Callithrix jacchus: one gene and its partners. The protein of the gene in region 1 interacts with the protein of each later gene in a pairwise test. Links are inferred from orthologs where the notes say so. Each region holds a gene or a part of one and is shown in the gene's direction. Other genes may lie near its edges. The genes, in order: STUB1, OLFM3 and HSPB1.

Region 1 (7,506 bases):
TACCTGAGGCTGCACAGGCCATGGCTTGGCACATGGTGGCTGCCCCCCTTGGGCCTTCGTGTCTGCCCTTGTGAACGGACGTCTCAGGGCTGCTGTGCCCCTTGGGTGTGGGTGGCCTCAGAGGAGACCCTGTCCCGGCCAACTCCCTACTCCCAGGACTTGCAGTCTGAGCCTTTTTGGATAATTAATAAATATTTTACACAGCACCAAGGGGCTATCCCAGGCTCTGGAAACTTGCCAGGACCTCCACAACCGCTGAACAGACCGTGAGGGCCCTGCCCACCACGAGAGCCTGGCTGTCCTCCCTGTGCACCTCTGCACCTGGGGTCACATGTGGGACTTGTTCCCCGGGCCACAGGCGAAGGTCTGTGGGAGTTACGGGCACCGGGGAGGGCTGGGGGCCAGGTGTGTGTCAGGCCAGGAGTGTGGTCAGGCGTGAGTTTGGCAGTGTTTATTGAGCTCCATGGTGGCAGCCTCCCTGGCATCCAGTGACACCCGAGGCCTGAGGTTGTGTGGCAGGTGAGTGGGCCAGGGCCGTAGCCGAGTCCACTCAGCCTGGGTCCTGCGCTTCTTCGCTGGCCTAGCATCCTCGTGGGTGGCCAAGCTGGGGCCAAGTTTGGGCAACAGGTGTGGGCACAGCCTCTGCCCCAAGGCCCCGGTCCACAGCGCTGTCTCCACTAGGTGAGGAGTCCACTGTCCTGAGGCACTGGCTAGGGAGGGGCACATGGAGTCAGGCCCAGGGCACAGGCCCCCCCCCACCCTGCCCATGCACAGATTGCTCACCTTGGCTCAGAGCTTGAACCCGGCCCAGGGACAGCAGGTTGTGCCTGAGGGTGTACTGTGGGGTCAGAAGACTGGGCACTGTGGCCACTGCCTCATCTGACAAGAAGGCTTCCAGCTGTGGAGCTCCGACCGCCAGGACTGCTCTGAGCAGCGAGGAGACAGCAGCCAGACACCCCATCAGGACAAGCTCTGGGAGACCCTGCTCCTGCTCCCAGGAACATGCAAGGGCCCAGACTGCCGGCTTCACAGACAAGGATGCCTGTGCACCCAGGTCGTGCACACCCGACTCACCTGTGGTGGGCCCACACCGCGGAGGGCACACAACTTTATGACTGCGGCCCCCGACTCTGGCAGGAGTCAGAAGGCGGAGGTCAAGCGGTGCACAACCAGCTCAGGGGATTGGTGGCCACAGGCTGCTGAAGACATGGCCAAAAGCGGCCTCTCTGTGGGAGGCCAGGTCAGGATGCCTGGAGTGGTGGACCCTCCAGGAACCCCGCCCCACGACAAAGCCCCGCCCCCACGAAGACACGCCCCTAGGAGGCCCCGCCCACGAGGAAGCACCGCCCCACCGACGCCACTCCCTGAAGACCCGCCCTACGGAGGCCCCGCACACGAGGAGGCGGGGCCGCACCCCACCGGCAGCCTCTAGACTAACAGCCGTTCCAGCTCCCTTCGCGTCACGTGCTTCTCCGCTCGGCCCTTGATGGCCGCCAGCAACTCCTCCCGTTACCTGGAAAAGGGGGTGAGGGGAGGTCCGGCCACGGGGACACTCGCCCCACGGATCCCTTTATCTCTTACCAGTCTACCAACGGTCCACGGCTTCCAGCCGCTCTCGGGGGCCCGCGCGCGCTCGTAGCACCTTTCGGTGGCATTCCAGGATGGCAGCCCAGCAAGCCGCTGGGGTCCCCACAGCCCCAGAGCGCGTGGGAGGCCGCCATGTTACGTGGAGGGGAGGGGTCGGCTCTCAGGGGCGGAGCCTCTGCGGAAGGGGCCGGCTGCTGGGGGCGGGACCTCTGCAAACGGAGTCGACCCCCCCCCGAGGGCGGGGCCGGCTGCCAGGGGCGGAACCTCTGCAGACGGGGCTGACTGATGGGGGCGTGGCCGGGTGCTGGGGGCGGGGCCTCCGCCGATGGGGGTGGCTGCGGGGGCGGGGCCTCTGCCGATGGGCCAGGTGCTGGGAGTGGGGGCGGGTGCCGGGGGCGGGACCGCCGCAGATGCGGCCTGTTGTTGGGGGCGGGGCGGGCTGCTGGGGGCGGGACCTCTGCAGATGGGGTCTTTACGGGTTGGGGCAGGGGCGGAATCCCACGTGGGCGGGACAGGCTTTTAGGGAAGCACGCCCTCAGCGAACCAAGGCTGAGGCACCTCACGGAGAAAACCGGATATATGGGACGGCCGCCACCGAGGCCAGTTCTGGAGAGGCCTCGGCGGGGCGGGGCGGGGCTGGCCTCCGCGAATGCCGACCCTGAAAAACGCGGGGCCAGGGAACCGGAGCGTTCCTCGCAGCCAGCTACGTCGCGGGCCGACTGTCCCCGCCCAGGCTGGTTGGGCGCACGCGCGGCCCTACCCGCCCCCCGACGCCTGCGTCCCCGCCGATCCCGCCCCCGGCCGGAAGTTCCGGCGGCGGAGCTGGGCCGGGCCCGAGCTGATCGTGGGCTCGGGCTGCAGGGCTCGGGCTCGGGCTTCGGGTGCAGGGCCGTCAGGCGCGGAGCTTGGGAGCGCAGCCCAGGCCGTGCCGCTCGGCGCCATGAAGGGCAAGGAGGAGAAGGAGGGCGGCGCGCGGCTGGGCGCTGGCGGCGGAAGCCCGGAGAAGAGCCCGAGCGCGCAGGAGCTCAAGGAACAGGGCAACCGTCTGTTTGTGGGCCGAAAGTACCCGGAGGCGGCGGCCTGCTACGGCCGCGCGATCGTGAGTGCGCCCGCGTGGGGAAGGCGGCGACGGCGAGTCGGAGGGCCACGCCCGCGATCGGCCGGCCCCGCCGAGGGTCTGGCTCCTCCGCGGCGGGTATCCTGGGCTCCGAAAGCCCAGCATTGGTTCTCGATCCCAGCGCCAGGTGCCGGGGAACGAGGGTGGGATGCTAGATGGAGGCCGGCCGGGTGGGTGGGAGGCCAGGGTCCAAAGCTGGGACTCTCCAAAGATTTGGAAAACTCTACAGAACCAACCGGAGTGAGGTGTGTAGGCTCAGCCAGTAGTCCCGTGTCTGCAGATCCTTGGACCCAGAGGCTTTGGCTACTGAGAGGTCTAGGTTCTTGATCGTAGCCAGATCGCAGAAGCTGGGACGGGCCCTGGGACAGAGGGGGCGCGCTGAGCCTACGCCTGATGCGGCTGGCCCGGCCTTGGTCCCTAGACCCGGAACCCGCTGGTGGCCGTGTATTATACCAACCGGGCCCTGTGCTACCTGAAGATGCAGCAGCATGAGCAGGCCCTGGCCGACTGCCGGCGCGCCCTGGAGCTGGACGGGCAGTCTGTGAAGGCGCACTTCTTCTTGGGGCAGTGCCAGCTGGAGATGGAGAGCTATGATGAGGCCATCGCCAATTTGCAGCGAGGTTGGCCGACAAGCTGCCTGGGTGCGGGGCCCCTGGGACCAGGCGGTTGGACTGGCCAGCGTGACCGGAAGCCCTTGTTCCCCAGCCTACAGCCTGGCCAAGGAGCAGCGACTGAACTTTGGGGACGACATCCCCAGCGCTCTGCGAATCGCGAAGAAGAAGCGCTGGAACAGCATCGAGGAGCGGCGCATCCACCAGGAGAGTGAGCTGCACTCCTACCTTTCGAGGCTCATTGCGGCGGAGCGTGAGAGGTGGGACCCTTACCCCAGGCCGCGCTGTCTGGGGATAATTCTGAATAACCAACCGCCAACACGAATGTTTACTGAAAGTTTTACTGGCGAGCAGTGCATGTGGGGAAGAAGCCTGGATGTTAGCCCTGAGTCTGGGGTGTGGTCAGACATCTTCTGGCCAGGTCCGTCTCTGACGGGCTCCTGGTCATCCCCCAGGGAGCTGAAAGAGTGCCAGCAGAACCACGAGGGTGACGAGGACGACAGTCACGTCCGGGCCCAGCAGGCCTGCATTGAGGCCAAGCACGTGAGGGTGCCCCCATCCACATGTGGGTCTGTGTGTGTGCACACGTGGCACGGGAGCGTCCCCACCCTGCTGTGGGTCTGTGTGTCCCTGCCTCGTGTTGGGTCTGGGTACCACGGAGGAGGGAAGTGGGGTGTCCCTCCCAAGCACTGCTCAACTTTCCACAGGACAGATACATGGCGGACATGGATGAGCTCTTCTCTCAGGTGGATGAGAAGAGGAAGGTGAGTGCTGCTGTGGGTGGTAGGTCCTGGAGCAGCCCCTTCCCAGCCTCTGACCCTGTGCCCATGTGCCACAGAAGCGCGACATCCCTGACTACCTGTGTGGCAAGATCAGCTTTGAGCTGATGCGGGAGCCGTGCATCACACCCAGTGGCATCACTTACGACCGCAAGGACATCGAGGAGCACCTGCAGGTGAGGCTGGGGCCAGGGGGTGGGCAGGGCCAGCAGCAGGGTCCTAGGCTTGCTGAGCAGCCTCTGCCTCTTGTCACTGCAGCGTGTAGGCCATTTTGACCCTGTGACCCGGAGCCCCCTGACGCAGGAACAGCTCATTCCCAACCTGGCTATGAAGGAGGTCATTGATGCATTCATCTCTGAGAACGGCTGGGTGGAGGACTACTGAGCTCCTCGCCCTGCCCAGTGTCCTGGCCCCGGAGGGCCACGGGCAGAAGCCCCCAGCCCCTGTACATAGCTTGTGTCCCTGGCCACCCTTTCCCTTCCCCCCAGTTCTGCTGTTGGGCTCTGGACGGCTCCCCTCTCAGCATAGCTCTTGCTGGGCTGTGATCCTCCCCGTCCCCCATTCTGGGCTGGAAAAGCAGGTGAGGGTGGGCTGGGCTGCGGCCACCGTCTGTGTAATAAAATCCGTGAGCACAAGCTGGGGAAGAAGTGCTCTGTGTGACAGGAGTGCCTGCCGGCTGCCACGGCTAGCCAAGGAAGGTAGAGATGAAGACGCTGGTGTCAAGGTTGAGTGTGGCGTGCCACCAGCGGTCGGGGAAGTACAGCACCTGGTGAAGGAAGGGGGTGCAGCCGAGATCAGCTGCGGGCCTCTGACCTGGCCCGGTCCCTCCTGCCAGCCACTGACCTCACCAGCCTGGATGGTACACTCCAGGGGCCGTGCAGACGGCGGCAGGGCTGGGTATGTGTCCCGGAGCCAGGCCAGCGTGGTCTTGTTGGGGTGGAACTCTGGCGTCTTCTCAGGTGGGTAGAGGAACCAGCGCTGTGGGCAGGGGCAGCAGCGTCACCCTTGCCCACTTGGGTCATCCACCCAAGCCCCGACACCCACCCTGGGCTGACCTTACGGCCGTAGATCACCTCCGAGTACCCAGGCCCGTGCCAGTGGAAGGGCACCCCCGAGCCGGCTCCTGTGGGGTTACGAGCACCTAGTGACCCACCTGTTTAGTACCCACTCTCAGAAGCCTCACTCCTCCCCAGTCCCAAGGAGCACCCACCTGCGATTCCAAAGCTGTAAGCTGGAGCGGTACCCGGCAGACCAAATGGGGGTGGGGAGTAGTGCCGAAAAAGTGAGGACCATTCAGTGAAGTTGTTGTCCCCGAAAAAGTACAGGGTGTCTGCAACAGAGACGGTGGGGCAGGGATCCCGGCACTGGGAGGCTCCAAGCGTGTCGCCGCCCCAACACCGCCATACATGGCTGACTCACCATTGCCCAGGGAGGTGGGGTCCTGGGGGTGCAGCAGCTGCTCCACATACTCCTGGAAGGGCAAGTCCACTGCAGGGAAGGGACGGGTCAAGACCGGCTGCTGCAGCCGTCGCGGCGTTGGCAAGCAGGCGGGCCCGGGGTGGGGCGGCTCACCCTTCCGGTAGGAGTAGGTGTTGGCGGTGCTCAGCCGAACCACTCTGTCTCCGAACGACGCCAGCAACCTGTCGCGGGAGCACAGGGCCCGGAACCTCTGCGGGGGGGCGGGCGGGGGCGGGGCTTAGAGGCCGGGCCCAGCACGCGCGAGGGTGTCCGGGGACGGGCGCGCGCTCACCGAGTTGTCCGTGAGTCCCTGCAGGATAACGGGCCTGACGAACGCGTACCTGGAAGGAAGGGCAGAGTCGCGCCCAGGCTCGACCGCCACCCTCGCCGCCCCCGCCCCACACTCGCGGGAGCTCGGGGAAGGCGCCTTAGGCGGGCGGGTGACCAGGGCGCGATCTCCGCGGTCAGGGGCGCACGTACTGCTGCACGAACTCGGCGTAGGTAAGGTCGGCGCGGCGCTCCACCGTGCAGCGCTGCTCCTCGGCCGCGGCCCCCGGCCCGCCCCGGCGCCTGCGGGCACAGCCCGGTCAGCCCGCGCCCTACCCGCCGCACGAGACCCCCCGCCCGGCCCCTCCCGGGCCGCTCACCACCCGCCGTCGCCCTCCTCCCCCGAGCTGGGTAGAACCAGAGCCGCCAGCGCCCAGAGCGCGAGCAACCACGACCCCGGCGCCATGAGCCCGCCGCCCTCAGGCAGCCGCGCTGCACGCCGGGAACCTCAGGCCCGTCCGCCAGCCATTGGCCGCAACCTCGTCGTCATGGCAACCGCCGGGTGCCCGGATGGTTCCGGAAGTGATCTCCTTTGCCCCGCCCCGGAAGAGGCCTATTGGCATCGCTGGTTACCATGGCGACAGCCCCGGAGAGAGCCCCCGCCCAGCAGCTGCACGGCGAGCACACTGCAAGCCCCCGCGCGGACAGCGATTCCACTTCCTTTATTGGGGTTTCAAGTTCCAGCCTCTGCCCGTCTGGGGCCCAAGACCAGGCGGGGTTTTGCACGTGGCCGGCCGGGCGGTCAGGTCCCCAGAGCCTAGCAAACGCTCAGGAGTACTCGCAGAGGTGGCCGCAGCCCGCGGGGCAGTGGGAGCTGCCTTCCAGCCACTTCATGATGTGCTGCAGGTGGCCGCCGTGGCTGCAGCCCTGGCACCACACGAACAGGCCCTTGACAACGTGGTGGCAGACGGCGCACATGCTGGCGCAGCGGTGGCACCTGGGGGCGGGCGGGAGGGCGGACGCCTCAGCGGGGGCTCCTGCACTGCCTGCAGGCCCCTTCCCCACCTCCCGACCCCACTGCCCACCTGTCGCAGACCCAGCCCCGGCTGCTCATGGGCCGTTTGCAGTGGCTGCAGTTGACATGCAGGGTGGTGGAGGCCTGGTTGAGGCAGCTGACGGCTCGGCTCGTGCTCAGCTTGACCACCTCGTTGGACACGTTCCACAGGCGGAAGCGCTGCAGCAGGTCGATGTAGGAGGTGTACCAGTGCTCCTGGGAAAGGAGCGCGTGGCGGTCGGAATCGGGGCGCAGGGCAAAGCCTTCGGAGGGAGGAGGCCCCGCCCACCACACACCTGGGTCTGCTCGTCGATGTCCTTGCGCACCCGTTCACCCAGGACGATGAGCACAGACACAGCCATCTGCACGTCGCCCTGCTCAGCATAGAAGTGCAGCATGTCCCGCACCAGCATGCTGAAGAAGTCGGGCGGTAGGCGGCTGTCGTACAGCGCGTGTGAGACAGACAGGAGCGAGAAGGAGGAGTCCACGGGAGCCAGGGAGGCCACATCCGCCTCGCTGCCGCTCACATGCGGGGAGTCGGCCTTGTCCTGCAGGTGCTCGGGCCCGGGAGGTGTGTCCACAATCTCGTGGCGCAGTGGAAAGGCCTCCTGCGGCAGCACGCACTCGGGCTCC
Region 2 (7,022 bases), on another chromosome or scaffold:
ACATCCAATTTTGCTTTTCTGTTATATTGTATTTCCATTCAGGTAATCAACATTCTTCACCAATCTTCTTTTCTACCCAGAAATATCTGTTTTTCTACATGAATTAAGGTGAAACATTTTCTTAGACACCATACTTTATCTTCTGTGTTGCTGTTTTTCAGTACAACATTACATACACCTACACATAGGTTCAAACATGTCTTCAAATACCAGTTGAAAAAATTCAAATAAAGTATAAATGTCAGAAGTGGATAATTCCATTTACAGGTTCAAAGTGAAGTGTCTTTCAGGGCTATGATAAAGCTGGGAATTAGTAAAAGATGAATAAATTAAAAATGTATGAAAGTATTTCATTGGTTGGATGAAAACAATATAGAAATTAATATGACCACTCCATCCATCCAATGCGTAATTTGTCTGAATGTTTTAAAGAAATTCTAGAACATCATGCCTTTAAAAATTTATTAATACATAAATGACAAAAAAAAACACAAATAAAATGTATTAACAAAATTGAAGTTACTACAAGGTAGATGTATTAAATGTACCATCTGGTAGTTTTAGAGCAGCGGAGGAATCCTAAATTGTGTGCACTCTTTTACAGTGGCCTGGAGGAGGTTAGGTAGCCCTGATTTGCTGCACCGATCCAGAGGAGAAAAGACATCTGAGACACCATGGTATTTTAGACTGATCAGTCCCTGGCTGCCCTCTCTAGAGTTTCACATGTATCCAAGACACCAAAGGGAAAACAAGAGCATCATGACCTCTAAGTGCCTCCTTCACTTTTAACCAGAAAGATCAATTTAGTTGTATATAAGGGAATATTGTTAACAAAAGCGATATTTACAACAACAATTCCCATGAGTAGTATATTTTATATTTTGTATCCACTTCTTTCAATCCTTATAAATGGGGTAGTTATCTAAATTTACATAAAAGAAAACTGGTTGTCTAGTCACTCAATCAGTAAGCTGTGGGCTGTAACATCCATCTGCAGCTTCTCAATGCTATACCAGTGTCACACAAAATGCCACAGGTATGTCCACACTTATTTAAGTGACGTTCTGTTAAACATTTCTAACAAGTATTTATATTATTGAATATTAGAAAAAATATAATCGGTTTCACAGTATTTCAGGTCTTAGTATGCCAAAACTAAAATTGCTCACCTAAAAAAGTATACGTTTATTAACTATATAACTTCCCTGTACAGTTAAAGATGTGTTGTATTATCTAAGTCGGTATTTCCTAAAGTATGATTTTTTGAATACGATACTGCCAACATCCTCACCAATAAAATCAGTTTAAGAAACACTGTACATGATACTTCACTCTTGAAGATTTCTAATATACAGTTTACTACTAGAGGTTTTGTTAAGTCCCACAGTCAGGAAATCTGTTTATATGTGTTAAACTCAAGTTATTCAAACATATTTAATCAATAGAACTTTTGTTTTTCAAGTCTCGCCTTACTAATTATGAGAGTGAAAATCTAAGTTAATTTGTGTTTAAGTTCAAAAAAGCCCCAGATATTTTATTTATATGAAGAACAAGAATAAATAAAGATTCCAAAAGAATTATTTAAGAAAGGGGACAATGAGCTTGTCAAACTATGCAGAGAGAGCCTAAGCACAGAAACACCTATGAAAAGGTGAATCACAGAACTGCAGAGACAAGCCGACAAAAAGAGGGAACACAGCAGACAGATCTCCTTCCCTACACAAGTCATCATGTGTATCCAGTCTGCTGTATCATCAGGAAACTGATGCTCCATGGGCCTCCATAGCCATCGGGAAACTAAACAATCCTAGGTACAGCCAGCAGGAGATGCTTAAGACAACCTGGAGCCAAATGCTGCCCTATTAGACAACTCTATCTCTAGCCATTACCACAAATGTACCTCTTCTAATTACACATGATTCTGCAATATAGGTCACAATCAAGTCTCAGCAAAAATTCTCTCAGTGCAATTTCCCATAACACAAATGAAGTTGAAAATTCACTTTATAGGGCGAGTCAGAGGCAAAAATAAAGACAGCCTATTTTTTTTTTTTTGAGACGGAGTTTCGCTCTTGTTACCCAGGCTGGAGTGCAATGGCGCGATCTCGGCTCACCGCAACCTCCGCCTCCTGGGTTCAGGCAATTCTCCTGCCTCAGGCTCCTGAGTAGCTGGGATTACAGGCACACGCCACCGTGCCCAGCTAATTTTTTGTAATTTTTAGTAGAGACGGGGTTTCACCATGTTGACCAGGATGGTCTCGATCTGCCGACCTCGTGATCCACCTGCCTCGGCCTCCCAAAGTGCTGGGATTACAGGCTTGAGCCACAGCACCTGACCGAAGACAGCCTATTTTAACTTTATCCAGAGTACCTTATTTTGCCCATCATTTTCTAATTATATGGACTTGGTCCAAGTACATAGAATCATTAGCAGGACATCAGTTATACTAATGGTAGATGTCTTCACAGACAAATGCTGTATTTAAATAGGTAGACAGTTTTTTTAAATGCAAATAGCTTTTCTGTATTCATGCTCAACCACAAATGAAGTTAGAAAATTATGTTGAAAGCATTGCATTTATCCACAATGGCGTTATCATGTTTTCAATGTTGTCTTGGTAATTTTGTGTTGCACTAAATATTTAAAAAATTAAAAACAAAGATTTCTGAATATAAAACTTTTAGTAAATTAAGAAATATTTATAGTCCTGAAATGCTGTTGCCTAACCAGAAACAGGAGGGGGAAGACTCTTCTTAAAATTCTAATTACTTATTATTACTACTACAAACTCAAGATAAGTTTACTCAATAAATATTTATCAAACACTTGTTCTGTGCCTAGTTCTGTGTAAAGTCTTGGAAATGGAAGATATGAGTAAGACACAGCTTGTAACCTCATGGAGCTCACAGAGGGAGAGCCACTTCCCTGCCCCACCCCCAACACCCACATAACACAATTAGGTTTAAGATAAGCTGGACTGTAATATGTCCTAAAAGGACAGCATTCAAACAGGGCAAGATGATGGATCAAGACAACATAGGGAACAGAAAAGGGTGAAAAAAGGCAAAGAACTGAGGCAGACCAAGGCAGTATTCATTGCCTTTTACCAATATTACAGTTCTAAGAACTGTATCAACTACGGGACCTTTACAGCGTCTGATCCACTAAGCATTGTGACTTTATCTGATTACAGAAATTTGTGCCTGAACAAGTCATCCCTTTGTAATTCACATTTTTTCAATGAAAATAACTTTTTACTGATTATATGTATGTGAATGTATGTGTATTTGATTTAGAATAAACAGATTGGCTGGGCTCAGTGGCTCATGCCTGTAAACCCAGCACTTTGGGAGGCCAAGATGGATGGATCACCTGAGGTCAGGAGTTTGAGACCAGCCTGACCAATATGGTGAAAGCACGTCTCTACTAAAAATTACAACCATTAGCCGGGCGTGGAGGCAAGCGACTGTAGTCCCAACTACTCAGGAGGCTGAGACGGGATAACTGCTTGAACCCAGGGGCCAGAGGTTGCGGTGAGCCAAGATCGCGCCACAGCACTCCAGCCTGGGTGACAGAGTGAGACAAAAAAAGATCAAATTATGTAAAGGTTTTACATTTGCTTTTCTCGTTGAAATCTTTCCATGTTGAGCAGTACTTCTCAAACCTTGATAGGCATAGGAATCACTTGGGAATCTTGATAAAATGCAGATTTTGATTCAGTAATTCTGGATGAACATTTCTGAGATTTTGCATTTCTGACAAACTCCTAGGTGATACCAGAGTTGTTGCTTTGACTACTAACCGTACAGAGATTAACTTATTCTTTATAATGGATCATTCATATTCAGTTTCTCTAATTATTTAACAGCTTCCATTATTAGTGGCTTTCACTTTGTTTTCAGGTTTTTGCTGCCACAACAATTAGACCGGTCGTTTTTTTCCTGTCATTTCTGCATCTTTTACAGGCTACCTCTTTTTTACTTCTAAATAGCCCAGGGTTCAGTGAACCTGGAATGGTGCTATTGGCTTAAAATGTGTTTAACACCTGTCTACAAAGCACTTGATACAGTTACCACTTTCTGGGTCCCTTAAACACTATGCTGCTGAATTTATGCAGTGTTCCAGCACTGCTATAACCTGTCTTGGTCAATTCCATCTCTCCCCTGCGACTACTTTAGACACATTAAGAACTTATTGTACTAGAATGAATGCATTCTAGTCCTTTGGACACTTCACTACCATCCGTAATTGCTAAACATCCTAGATATTTAGGAAGTCAGAATTCGTACTTACTGAAACAACTTATTTTGGCATTTAACATGTTGGGGCATTTTAAGCTAACAAACCCTTAAAATGAAAAACTTGTTTTTAAAGCTTATTTTTCTAATGTATTAAACTCAATTATACTCAGTCAGTTCTAATGCTGGAATGCCCATTTTTAAATTTCCTGTCTAGGTATAATTTTCTCTTGCTGAATTCTTTAAATGTTTATCATGAAGAATTGTTCTTCTGAAAGTATGTCATATGGGAATGCAATTATGAATTTGGCACTTCTAGTTTTTATATCAATGGCATTTTTGCTGTTTCTTAGTAATTGCACAAACCTGCAAACAGACAGTAATTACAGACAATATTCTTGTTTAACAGGTTCAGAACATGTCCCAGTCTATTGAGGTCTTAAACTTGAGAACTCAGAGAGATTTTCAATATGTTTTAAAAATGGAAACCCAAATGAAAGGGCTGAAGGCAAAGTTTCGGCAGATTGAAGATGATCGAAAGACACTTATGACCAAGCATTTTCAGGTAGGTTTGACTTCTGCAATCTTGTCAATCCAAATCAGACCCTAAGTAGGATGGACAGCAGTGGAGCACTCAGCTAGAAATGACCGTTCATTGGCCCATATATGCAAGGGAAAAGACTCGTGGAGAATTTCAGTCATCTCTCCACTGAAACTGACCATTAGCAGCTGACAGGAAGACACAGAAGGCTTGCTATGAAAAAAGCCTCATCCTTGTAGAGTTTGGTGGAGAGGGAAACCCCAAGGAAAAGTAATAATTAAATTATAAATATTTCTCAAATGGTTTCATGCCCTGCTAATATGAAGAAAGATGTAGATGACATAAATTTTCGAAAGAAATAACTATGCCATAAATATGAGCATATAGAGAGAGTTATTTTATACTTTATACAAGTCAAGTCTTTTTTCTAGATTTTAAGTGTTTTATTGGCAATTATTTACAAATACTGAAGATGGAGAAATAAATTATGCTATGTGGACATTTGTTAACTATGTATAAAAGAGATATGAATTTTAAGGAAAAATTCTTGGTCTGATAATGTAGTTTGAGCTTCTGTTAAAAGTAAATCATCTGCCTTTCCAAGGCACAGCCCATAATTCATAAAACACACTACGGTTGCCCACTTAACAGCCTCTGTTTTTCTTGCCAATTAGGAAGTGAGATTCACTGCTGATGTTGAGGGAGTGGATCTGAATTCAAGCCCTTGGGCAAGGAAAGGAGCACTTCCTGCACCTAATGGTGGCAAGTGGGGAGCTAGCGAGGAACATGTAACAGAGTCTCTGCATAACACATTTTAATGTGGCAGAAAGTTTCATGGTTTTGTAATTTTCTTCAGTGGTACTCAAGAGACTGAGTAGAGAGGTATGGAAGAGAATTATACCCTGAACTGGATTTAAAGCTTTACCAAGAAGGTCATAACAGAAGTAAAAGAGGGAGAGGAAGTTGAGGGTATTGAAACGAGAGGGAATGGAAGTGATTAATCATGAGGTTTAAATTGAATAGAGAAGTAAACAAAGCCAGCAGGTTAAGATATTAGGACAAATTAGAGCAAGACTTGGAAGATACAATAATAAGTTTAAAGATTATTGAAAATGAAAGTATGAGTGAAATGGATAAATAGGAAACTTATGGATAAATGGTAAAGACAGAAGTATATGAGGTTGAAGAGCAAAAGAATTAATTTTAGGCAGTATTTATTGAGCCCATACCACACACAAAGTACGGCTGGCCCCTCTGCTGGATGTATTAACGTAATCTCTCTTCTATGAAAGACAACTCACACACAGGTGAATTGATAGTGAGTAGAGGCATAAGCATTACTTAAGAGCACAAAGGGAAGAGCAATTAATTTTGTTTTAAACAGGAGAAGAATTACAGGAAAGCAGTTTGGGACTAGTGACCCTACCCCTCCACTACTAAGTTATAGGGGGTCAAGAAAACCAAAAGATTTTCTGTGTCAATTTTCAATGCTCAGAGTTAGAGTGTAGACGGTAAAGTAACAATGTGAATCTAATGTTGAGGTCATCGGCAAAGTAGAAAATAGTAAGCTGGCATTTAGTTGTGGGAAGAGCATTCCTAGAAGGAACTAACCAGGAGGAGAGGATCTGAGATTGCTTGGTGGAGATGGACAATGCAGTGAGAATTCTGTAAAGCCCAAGGACAGCTTGAGAGTGTCAGGGTTGACAGGGCTGAGGAATGTGTAATGAAGTATGTTCATCTTTGGGAACTTTTGAGAGAAGACAGAAAACAAAGAAACAAAAAAAGATAAAAGCTGAGATAAACCCAAAGAAATAATGTGCCTAGTCTATAAATTTCCTAGCAGCAAATTAGCCAGACTACTAATAAGAAAACAATTTACAGGCCGCAGCACCATGTGGCATAATGGTTTGGATTTTCCTAGTTCATGTAATACAAGTATATGCTGAAGTTATATGTTAAAATTCAAATAACAGTAATGATTACAACAATAGCTATTTTTGGAACAATTATACATATTCAAGGCACACCTCTGAGCACTTTCAGTATATTAACTGTATAATCCTCACAACAATCTTGTAACTCAGGCACTATTTTCATATCCAGTTTAAAGATAAAGAAACTGATGCACAAAGAGTGTGTTTGTCCATTCTTACACTGCTATAAAGATCTGCCCTGAGACTGGGTAATGTGTGAAAGAGGTTTAATTGACTTACAGTTCTGCATGGCTGGGGAAACCTCAGGA
Region 3 (6,821 bases), on another chromosome or scaffold:
AGGGTTTCACCATGTTGGCCAGGCTGGTCTTGAACTCCTGAACCCAGGCAATAAGCCCACCTCGGCCTCTGAAAGTGCTGGGATTACAGGTATGAGCCACTGTACCTGGCCAACCAGTGCTTCTTTTTTTTTTTTTTTTTTTTTTTTTTTTTTGGAGACAGAGTTTTGCTCTTGTTGCCCAGGCTGGAGCGCTCAGCTCACCACAAACTCCACCTCCCAGGTTCAAGCAATTCTTCTGCCTCAGCCTCCAGAGTAGCTGGGATTACAGGCATGTGCCACCATGCCCAGCTTATTTTGTATTCTAAGTAGACGGGGTTTCTCCACGTTGGTCAGGCTGGTCTCGAACTCCTGACCTCAGGTGATCCACCAGCCTCAGCTTCCCAAAGGGCTGGGATTACAAGTGTGAGCCACCTCGCCCCGCCAACCAGTGCTTCTTAAAGAAAGACAGATATAGTGGGAGACGTGACTGTAACCTTCCTCCTGACCCCTCTGCGACTTCAGAGTTCTGATCTGGGCCAGCCCCACTGTTAGGAGCTGGGGGAAAATGGCCAAACCCCAGCAATTCTCCTTCCCCTTCTCTCTTCAATCCTAGGCAGACAATAACAACTAATAATTATGATGACCTAGGCTCTGGGCTAAAGCCTTCACCTGCATTAGGTCACTGAATTCTCAGGCCAACCCAGTACAGTCATGAGTCACTTAACAACGGAGCCACATTCAGAAATGCCTTGTTTGGCAATTTCATCGTTGTGGGAACACCTCGGAGTGCACTTAGGTCCTAAGCCGTCCGGTTTAGCCTCCCCCTCCTAGGTTACAAACCTCTACAGCACATGACTGCACCACATATTAGAGGTGGCTGCAACATGATGGTAAGTAGCAGCGTTTCTAAACACAGAAGACAGCCGCGCGGTGGCTCACACCTGTCAGCCCACCACTTTGGGAGGCCAAGGCAGGTGGATTACTTGAGGTTAGGGGTTCCAGACCAGCCTGGCCAACATGGTGAAACCCTGTCTTTACTAAAAGTACAAAAATTAGGTGGTGTCGTGGCACATGTCTGTAGTCTGAGCTACTCGGGAGGCTGAGGCAGGAGAATCGCTTGAACCCAGGAGGCAGAGGTTGCAGTGAGCCGAGATTGGGCCACTGCACTCCAGCCTGGGTGACAGAGGGAGACTCCATCTCAAAAAAATTACAAATAAACATAGAAGACGTACAGTAAGAACACAGTGGTAGGGCGTAGTGGCTCATGCCTGTAATCCCAGGACTTTGGGAGGCTGAGGCAGGTGGATCACCTCAGGTCAGAAGTTCGAGACCAATTTGACCAACATGGAGAAAACCCATCTCTACTAAAAACACAAAATTAGCCAGGCATGGTGGCTCATGCCTGTAATCCCAGCTACTCAGGAGGCTGAGGCAGGAGAATCATTTGAACCCTTGAGGCAGAGGTTGCGGTGAGCTGAGATCCTGCTTATGCATTCCAGACTGGGTATGCAAAAGAGCAAAACTCCATCTCAAATTTAAAAAATATAAATCAACAAAACCACAGTAATATAATTTTTTGTTTTGTTTTTTGAAACAGGGTGGGCCAGGTGTGGTGGCTCATGCCTGTAATCCAAGCACTTTGGAGGCCAAGGCGGGCGGATCACCTGAGGTCGGGAGATCAAGACCAGCCTGATCAACATGGTGAAACCCCCTCTTAAGAAAAAAAAAAAGGAAAAGAAACAGGGTCTTGTTCTGTTATGCAGACTGGAGTGCAGTGGCACAATCAGGCTCACTGCAGCCTCCTGGGCTCAAATGATCCTCCCACCTCAGCCTTCTGAGTAGCTGGAACTACAGATGCACGCCACCATCCCCAGCTAATTTGTTTTGAATTTTAGTAGAAATGGGGTCTCACTGTGTTGCCCAGGCTGGTCACAAATTCCTTGCTTCAAGTAATCCTCCCACCTTAACCTCCCAAAGCCCACACACCTTGCAACCACACAGATTGTCAGATTCCTTTTTTTTTTTTTTTTTTTTTTGAGATGGAGTTTCGCTCTTGTTACCCAGACTGGAGTGCAATGGCACGATCTCGGCTCACTGCAACCTCCGCCTCCTGGGTTCAAGCAATTCTCCTGCCTCAGCCTCCCGAGTAGCTGGGACTACAGGCACGCACCACCATGCCCAGCTAATATTTGTATTTTTAGTAGGGACGGGGTTTCACCTTGTTGACCAGGATGGTCTCGATCTCTTGACCTCGTGATCCACCCGCCTCGGCCTCCCAAAGTGCTGGGATTATAGGCGTGAGCCACCACGCCCAGCCATCCAGCTAATTTTTAAACATTTTTTGGTAGAGGTGAGGTCTCACCATGTTGCCCAGAATGGTCTCAAACTCCCGGCCTCAAGGGATCCATCCTTCCTGCCTTGGCCTCCCAAAGTGCCGATTACAGGCATGAGCCATGCACCCAGCCCCTTTTTATTTTTTTGAGACAGGGCCTTGCTCTGTTGCCTAGGCTGGAGTGCGGCGGTGAGAACATAGCTCACTACAGCCTCGAACTCCTGGACTCAAGCACCAGACTGCTTTACATCACATTCCACACACAGCCTTGTGGTTCCAACCCTGCCTCTGCCACTTCCCAGCTGTTTGCCCCAGCCCAACCTGTCTGGCGCTGTCCTGCTTAACAAAAGGACTGGCCTGGCCGCCGGCCACACCCGCCAGCGCTGAAGCACCAGGGCCTCCGAGTGCCCTAGTGTGGCACGTCTCCAGCGTCGCACTCTCGAACTCATTTGTTTTCCTTAACGAGAGAAGGTTCCAGATTGGGGCAGAACCCTCTTCGCCCCGCCCACGGCCCCCTGAACTCTGCGGATGGGGGGGAGGGGTGCATGGGGAGAGGCGGTCCCAAACGGGTCATTTCCATTAATAGAGACCTCAAACACCGCCTGCTAAAAATACCCAACCGGAGGCACATAAAAGCGCGACCCAGCACCGCGGCCCGCACTTCTCCGAGCAGACGTCCCGGGCAGAGCCAGCCAGCATGACCGAGCGCCGCGTCCCCTTCTCGCTCCTGCGGAGCCCCAGCTGGGACCCCTTCCGCGACTGGTACCCGCACAACCGTCTCTTCGACCAGGCATTCGGGATGCCCCGGCTGCCCGAGGAGTGGTCGCAGTGGTTCGGCACCAGCAGCTGGCCGGGCTACGTGCGCCCCCTGCCCCCCGCCGCGGTCGAGGGCCCCGCAGTGGCCGCGCCCGCCTACAGCCGCGCGCTCAGCCGGCAGCTCAGCAGCGGGGTCTCGGAGATCCGGCACACGGCGGACCGCTGGCGCGTGTCCCTGGACGTCAACCACTTCGCCCCCGAGGAGCTGACGGTCAAGACCAAGGATGGCGTGGTGGAGATCACCGGTGAGCACCCCCTGGCCCTGCAGGGGAGGGGAGGAGGCTAGCGGGGAGGGCGGGGCCCGGGGGTGCGGTTGAAACCCCGGGCCTGGGGAGTTAAAAGTTAGCCCAGCACCGGGAAAAACGGGATCCGTCCGTGATTCCCCTGCTCAGGAATCGGGAGTGCAGGTCGCTTCTAAGGTCGCTTTCTGCTCTGTTATCTCAGCGCCTTGGGAGGCGGAGGCCAGGAGTTCAAGACTAGCCTGGGCAATATAGCGAGACCTCCCCCCCTACCAACTACAAGAAAATTAAAAAGCAACCAAAAATGTTTTAAAAGATCATCGGTGAAGAAATGCTTCTTTCCACGGAACTCTCTCCCCACCCGCAGCCCCATCCGCAGATAAGCGGGTCCCCTGGCGTGGTCCCTGTCCCTAGCCGCGCGAGGGGCGTGCGTGCTCCTCCCAGTGCGCCTGCGCGTTGCTCCCTCCGCCCCTCGGCACCCTGCTCCGTTCCTCCCAAAACTCTTACTCGAACTTTCCGGAAGTTTCTGAGAGCCCGGACAGGCCGGCACGCCCCCACCCCCAGTCTCCTCTGTTAATCCCTGCCAGCCTGCAGTCCTGGCTGCCTCCAAGCTGGAGGTGGGGCCTCTGGCCTGGCGGGGCCGAGAGTCGGTCCCCTTTCCCTCATTCTGATTTTCCTGTCCCCCGAAGGCAAGCACGAGGAGCGGCAGGATGAGCACGGATTCATCTCCCGCTGCTTCACCCGGAAATACTCGTGAGTCCTGCCGCCAGGTCGGGGTGGGTGGGTGCCGGGGGCTAGGGAGGAGGGCACAGGGACCCACCCGAAGTGTAATGTAACGTTCACATTCCCTCTCTGCACGTCCAGGCTGCCCCCTGGTGTGGACCCCACCCAGGTCTCCTCCTCCCTGTCCCCTGAGGGCACACTGACCGTTGAGGCCCCCATGCCCAAGCCAGCCACACAGTCCAACGAGATCACCATCCCTGTCACCTTCGAGTCGCGGGCCCAGCTTGGGGGCCCAGAAGCTGCGAAATCTGACCAGTCTGCAGCCAAGTAAAAGCCTTAGCCCGGATGCCCACCCGTGCCGCCGCCACTGGCCATGCCTCCCCCCCCACCTGTGTGTTCTTTTGATACGTTTATTTGTTTTTCTCAAATAAAGTTTGAAGCAACCCACCTGTCACTGGCTCAGACCCTGGTGTTTGTGGAAGGAAGCTTCGGGCACCTGCCATTCCCTGGCTTACACTAGCCACCTTTGCTCAGGGTGTGCTGGGTGCACAGCCCCGTGCTGGGCCATGTGGGTACTCCCGTGTAGGTTGCTAGGCACAGGCTAATTCACATCCATAAAGACAGAGAGGTCCTATTGCCCGGCATTGTGGCTCAGACCTGCAATACCAGCACTTTGGTAAGTTGAGGCAGGAGGATTGCTTGAAGCTGAGAGTTCAAGACCAGCCTGGACAACACAGTGAGACCCTATCTCTTAAAAATAAAAAGCCAGTTGCAGTGGCTCATGCCTGTAATCCCAGCACTTTGGGAGGCTGAGGGGAGCAGGTCATGAGGTCAGGAGTTCGAGACCAGCCTGACCAACATGCTGAAACCCCATCTCTACCAAAAATACAAAAATTAGCCAGGCGTAGTAGCATATGCCTGTAATGTCAGCTACTCAGGAGGCTAAGACAGGAGAATCACTTGAACCTGGGAGGCAGAGGTTGTGGTGAGCCGAGATTGTGCCACTGCACTCCAGCCTGGGTGACAGAGCAAGACTGTCTCAAAAAAAAAAAATAATAAAATAACAGAAATAAAAATTAGCCAGGGGTGTTATTGCACACCTGTAGTCCCAGCTACTCAGGAGACTGAGGCTGGAAGATTGCTTGAGCCCAGGAGTTGAAGCGTGCAGTGAGCTAAGATTGTGCCTTTGCATTCCAGCCTGGGCAACAGAGCAAGATCGTCTCAATAAATAACTAAAAACTCAGAAAGAGTGAGACCTTGTCTTTAAAAGAAAAAAAAAAAAGGTCGTGATTGCAAGGTCATGGTTGCAATTAAAACTGTAAGGTGTGGAAGCGGAGGAAATGGGAAGCACCTGAGGCTTGAGTTTTCACGGTCGGCGAGGCTGGGGCCCAGGTGAAGGGGCACGGGGGTAATTGCACCTCCCCGCAGAGATTACTGCGTCAGAAGCTTGGCTTCGGCTTCGGCGCACCCAAGGGCACCACAGTGGACCTGGTAAGCTTTGAGGTCGTCACTGCCACACCCCCTGAGGCCAGGGCATCCCTGTTGGCAGTCACAAGGGAACTGGCAGGCAGAACTGGGGTGAGAACGGAGCCCGCAGTCTCTGGGTGGGGAGATTGGGTAGCACCCTGGCCGACGCGCTCAGACCTGTGCTGCTGGCTCTGCCAGCGATTCTTGTTGCCTGTGTTTATTTTCAGTTGGCCTCCCTCCCGGTGTAGCCAGGCCTCCATGGGCCCAGTTCCTCTGTTGTCTGCCCTTGCCCTAGCTGCCACCCTCTAACCAGGCCCAGGGAAAGCTGTGGAGGTACATAGCAGATGGGGGTGCCAGGCGTAGTGGCTCATGCCTGTAATCCCAGCACTTGGGGAGGCCAAGGCAGGTGGATCACCTGAGGTCAGGAGTTCGAGAGCAGCCTGGCCAACATGCTGAAACCCTGTCTCTACTAAAAATACAAAAATTAGCCAAGCGAGGTGGTGCACGCCTGTAATCCCAGCTACTCGGGAGGCTGAGGCAGGAGAATCAATTGAACCTGGGAGGCGGAGGTTGCAGTGAGCCCAGATCGCACCATTGCCCTCCAGCCTGGGGGACAAGAGCAGAAACTCTGTCTCAAACAAACAAAAGCAGATGGGGGCTTTGGAGTTTGGTTTTGATGTCCTCAATTTTTTGAGGGACCCAGAGTCTGAGGCTGTAGCAAGACACTCCCATGTTCTTTTCTCAGCTGTGGGAAGTAGAAAAGTTCCTCTTTAAATTTCCTTCTTGTTTAAGAATAAATCATACGCGTGCTAGTAACTCTTTGTGAAGCCCTATCCTGTGTAGCTGTGAGACACGCCATGATTACAGGCACGTAGTACATTCTACATCCTTGTACTTTAACCAAGATGTCTGTGCTGGACGTGCTCACAGGTATGCAGCTGAAGCCCCTTACCTGTTTAAAAAAGCTTTAAATTACTAGCCAATCAGGTTTTAGTTTAGATTGAGAGGTCTGGCTCCAGCCAAGGGAGATCAGACACAGCAGTAAGGACGACCCCAAATGCCTAAGGGATAAATTTATTGTTTTTATTTTTTAAATTTTTTTAGAGATGGGGTTTCACCATGCTGGTCAGGCTGGTCTCAAACTCCTGACCTCAGGTGATCCACCTCAGCCTCCCAAAGTGCTAGGATTATAGGCAAGAGCCACCGTGCCTGGCCTCATAAGGAAGAAATGTGTGTGTTTTCCTTTGTTCGTTGTACTTTTGTGG

Evidence for each region.
Region 2: the proteins of STUB1 (region 1) and OLFM3 interact in binary tests that used the Homo sapiens proteins (3 or more experiments, as listed by UniProt). The two-hybrid records come from large-scale screens. The link is inferred for Callithrix jacchus from reciprocal best matches to the Homo sapiens genes STUB1 and OLFM3.
Region 3: the proteins of STUB1 (region 1) and HSPB1 interact in binary tests that used the Homo sapiens proteins (3 or more experiments, as listed by UniProt). The link is inferred for Callithrix jacchus from reciprocal best matches to the Homo sapiens genes STUB1 and HSPB1.

The regions. Positions count from the first base shown.
Region 1 is NC_133513.1:2,939,182-2,946,687, forward strand, and holds STUB1 (E3 ubiquitin-protein ligase CHIP), read left to right. Parts: upstream 1-2,405; 5' UTR 2,406-2,527; coding exon 2,528-2,686; exon of another isoform or gene 2,687-2,831; intron 2,832-3,125; coding exon 3,126-3,324; intron 3,325-3,409; coding exon 3,410-3,575; intron 3,576-3,642; exon of another isoform or gene 3,643-3,770; coding exon 3,771-3,858; exon of another isoform or gene 3,859-4,022; coding exon 4,023-4,079; exon of another isoform or gene 4,080-4,153; coding exon 4,154-4,270; exon of another isoform or gene 4,271-4,330; coding exon of another isoform or gene 4,331-4,352; coding exon 4,353-4,478; 3' UTR 4,479-4,729; downstream 4,730-7,506. Other genes in the region: JMJD8 (jmjC domain-containing protein 8), read right to left, coding at 4,780-4,860, 4,938-5,072, 5,150-5,217, 5,305-5,424, 5,514-5,763, 5,845-5,893, 6,033-6,122, 6,200-6,285; GATOR2 complex protein WDR24, read right to left, coding at 6,648-6,816, 6,905-7,089, 7,170-7,506. UniProt on the Homo sapiens protein: E3 ubiquitin-protein ligase which targets misfolded chaperone substrates towards proteasomal degradation.
Region 2 is NC_133508.1:144,020,990-144,028,011, forward strand, and holds part of OLFM3 (noelin-3), read left to right. Parts: intron 1-4,648; coding exon 4,649-4,804; intron 4,805-7,022.
Region 3 is NC_133503.1:11,062,624-11,069,444, forward strand, and holds HSPB1 (heat shock protein beta-1), read left to right. Parts: upstream 1-2,968; 5' UTR 2,969-3,008; coding exon 3,009-3,372; exon of another isoform or gene 3,373-3,813; intron 3,814-4,055; coding exon 4,056-4,119; intron 4,120-4,230; coding exon 4,231-4,420; 3' UTR 4,421-4,540; downstream 4,541-6,821. UniProt on the Homo sapiens protein: Small heat shock protein which functions as a molecular chaperone probably maintaining denatured proteins in a folding-competent state. Plays a role in stress resistance and actin organization.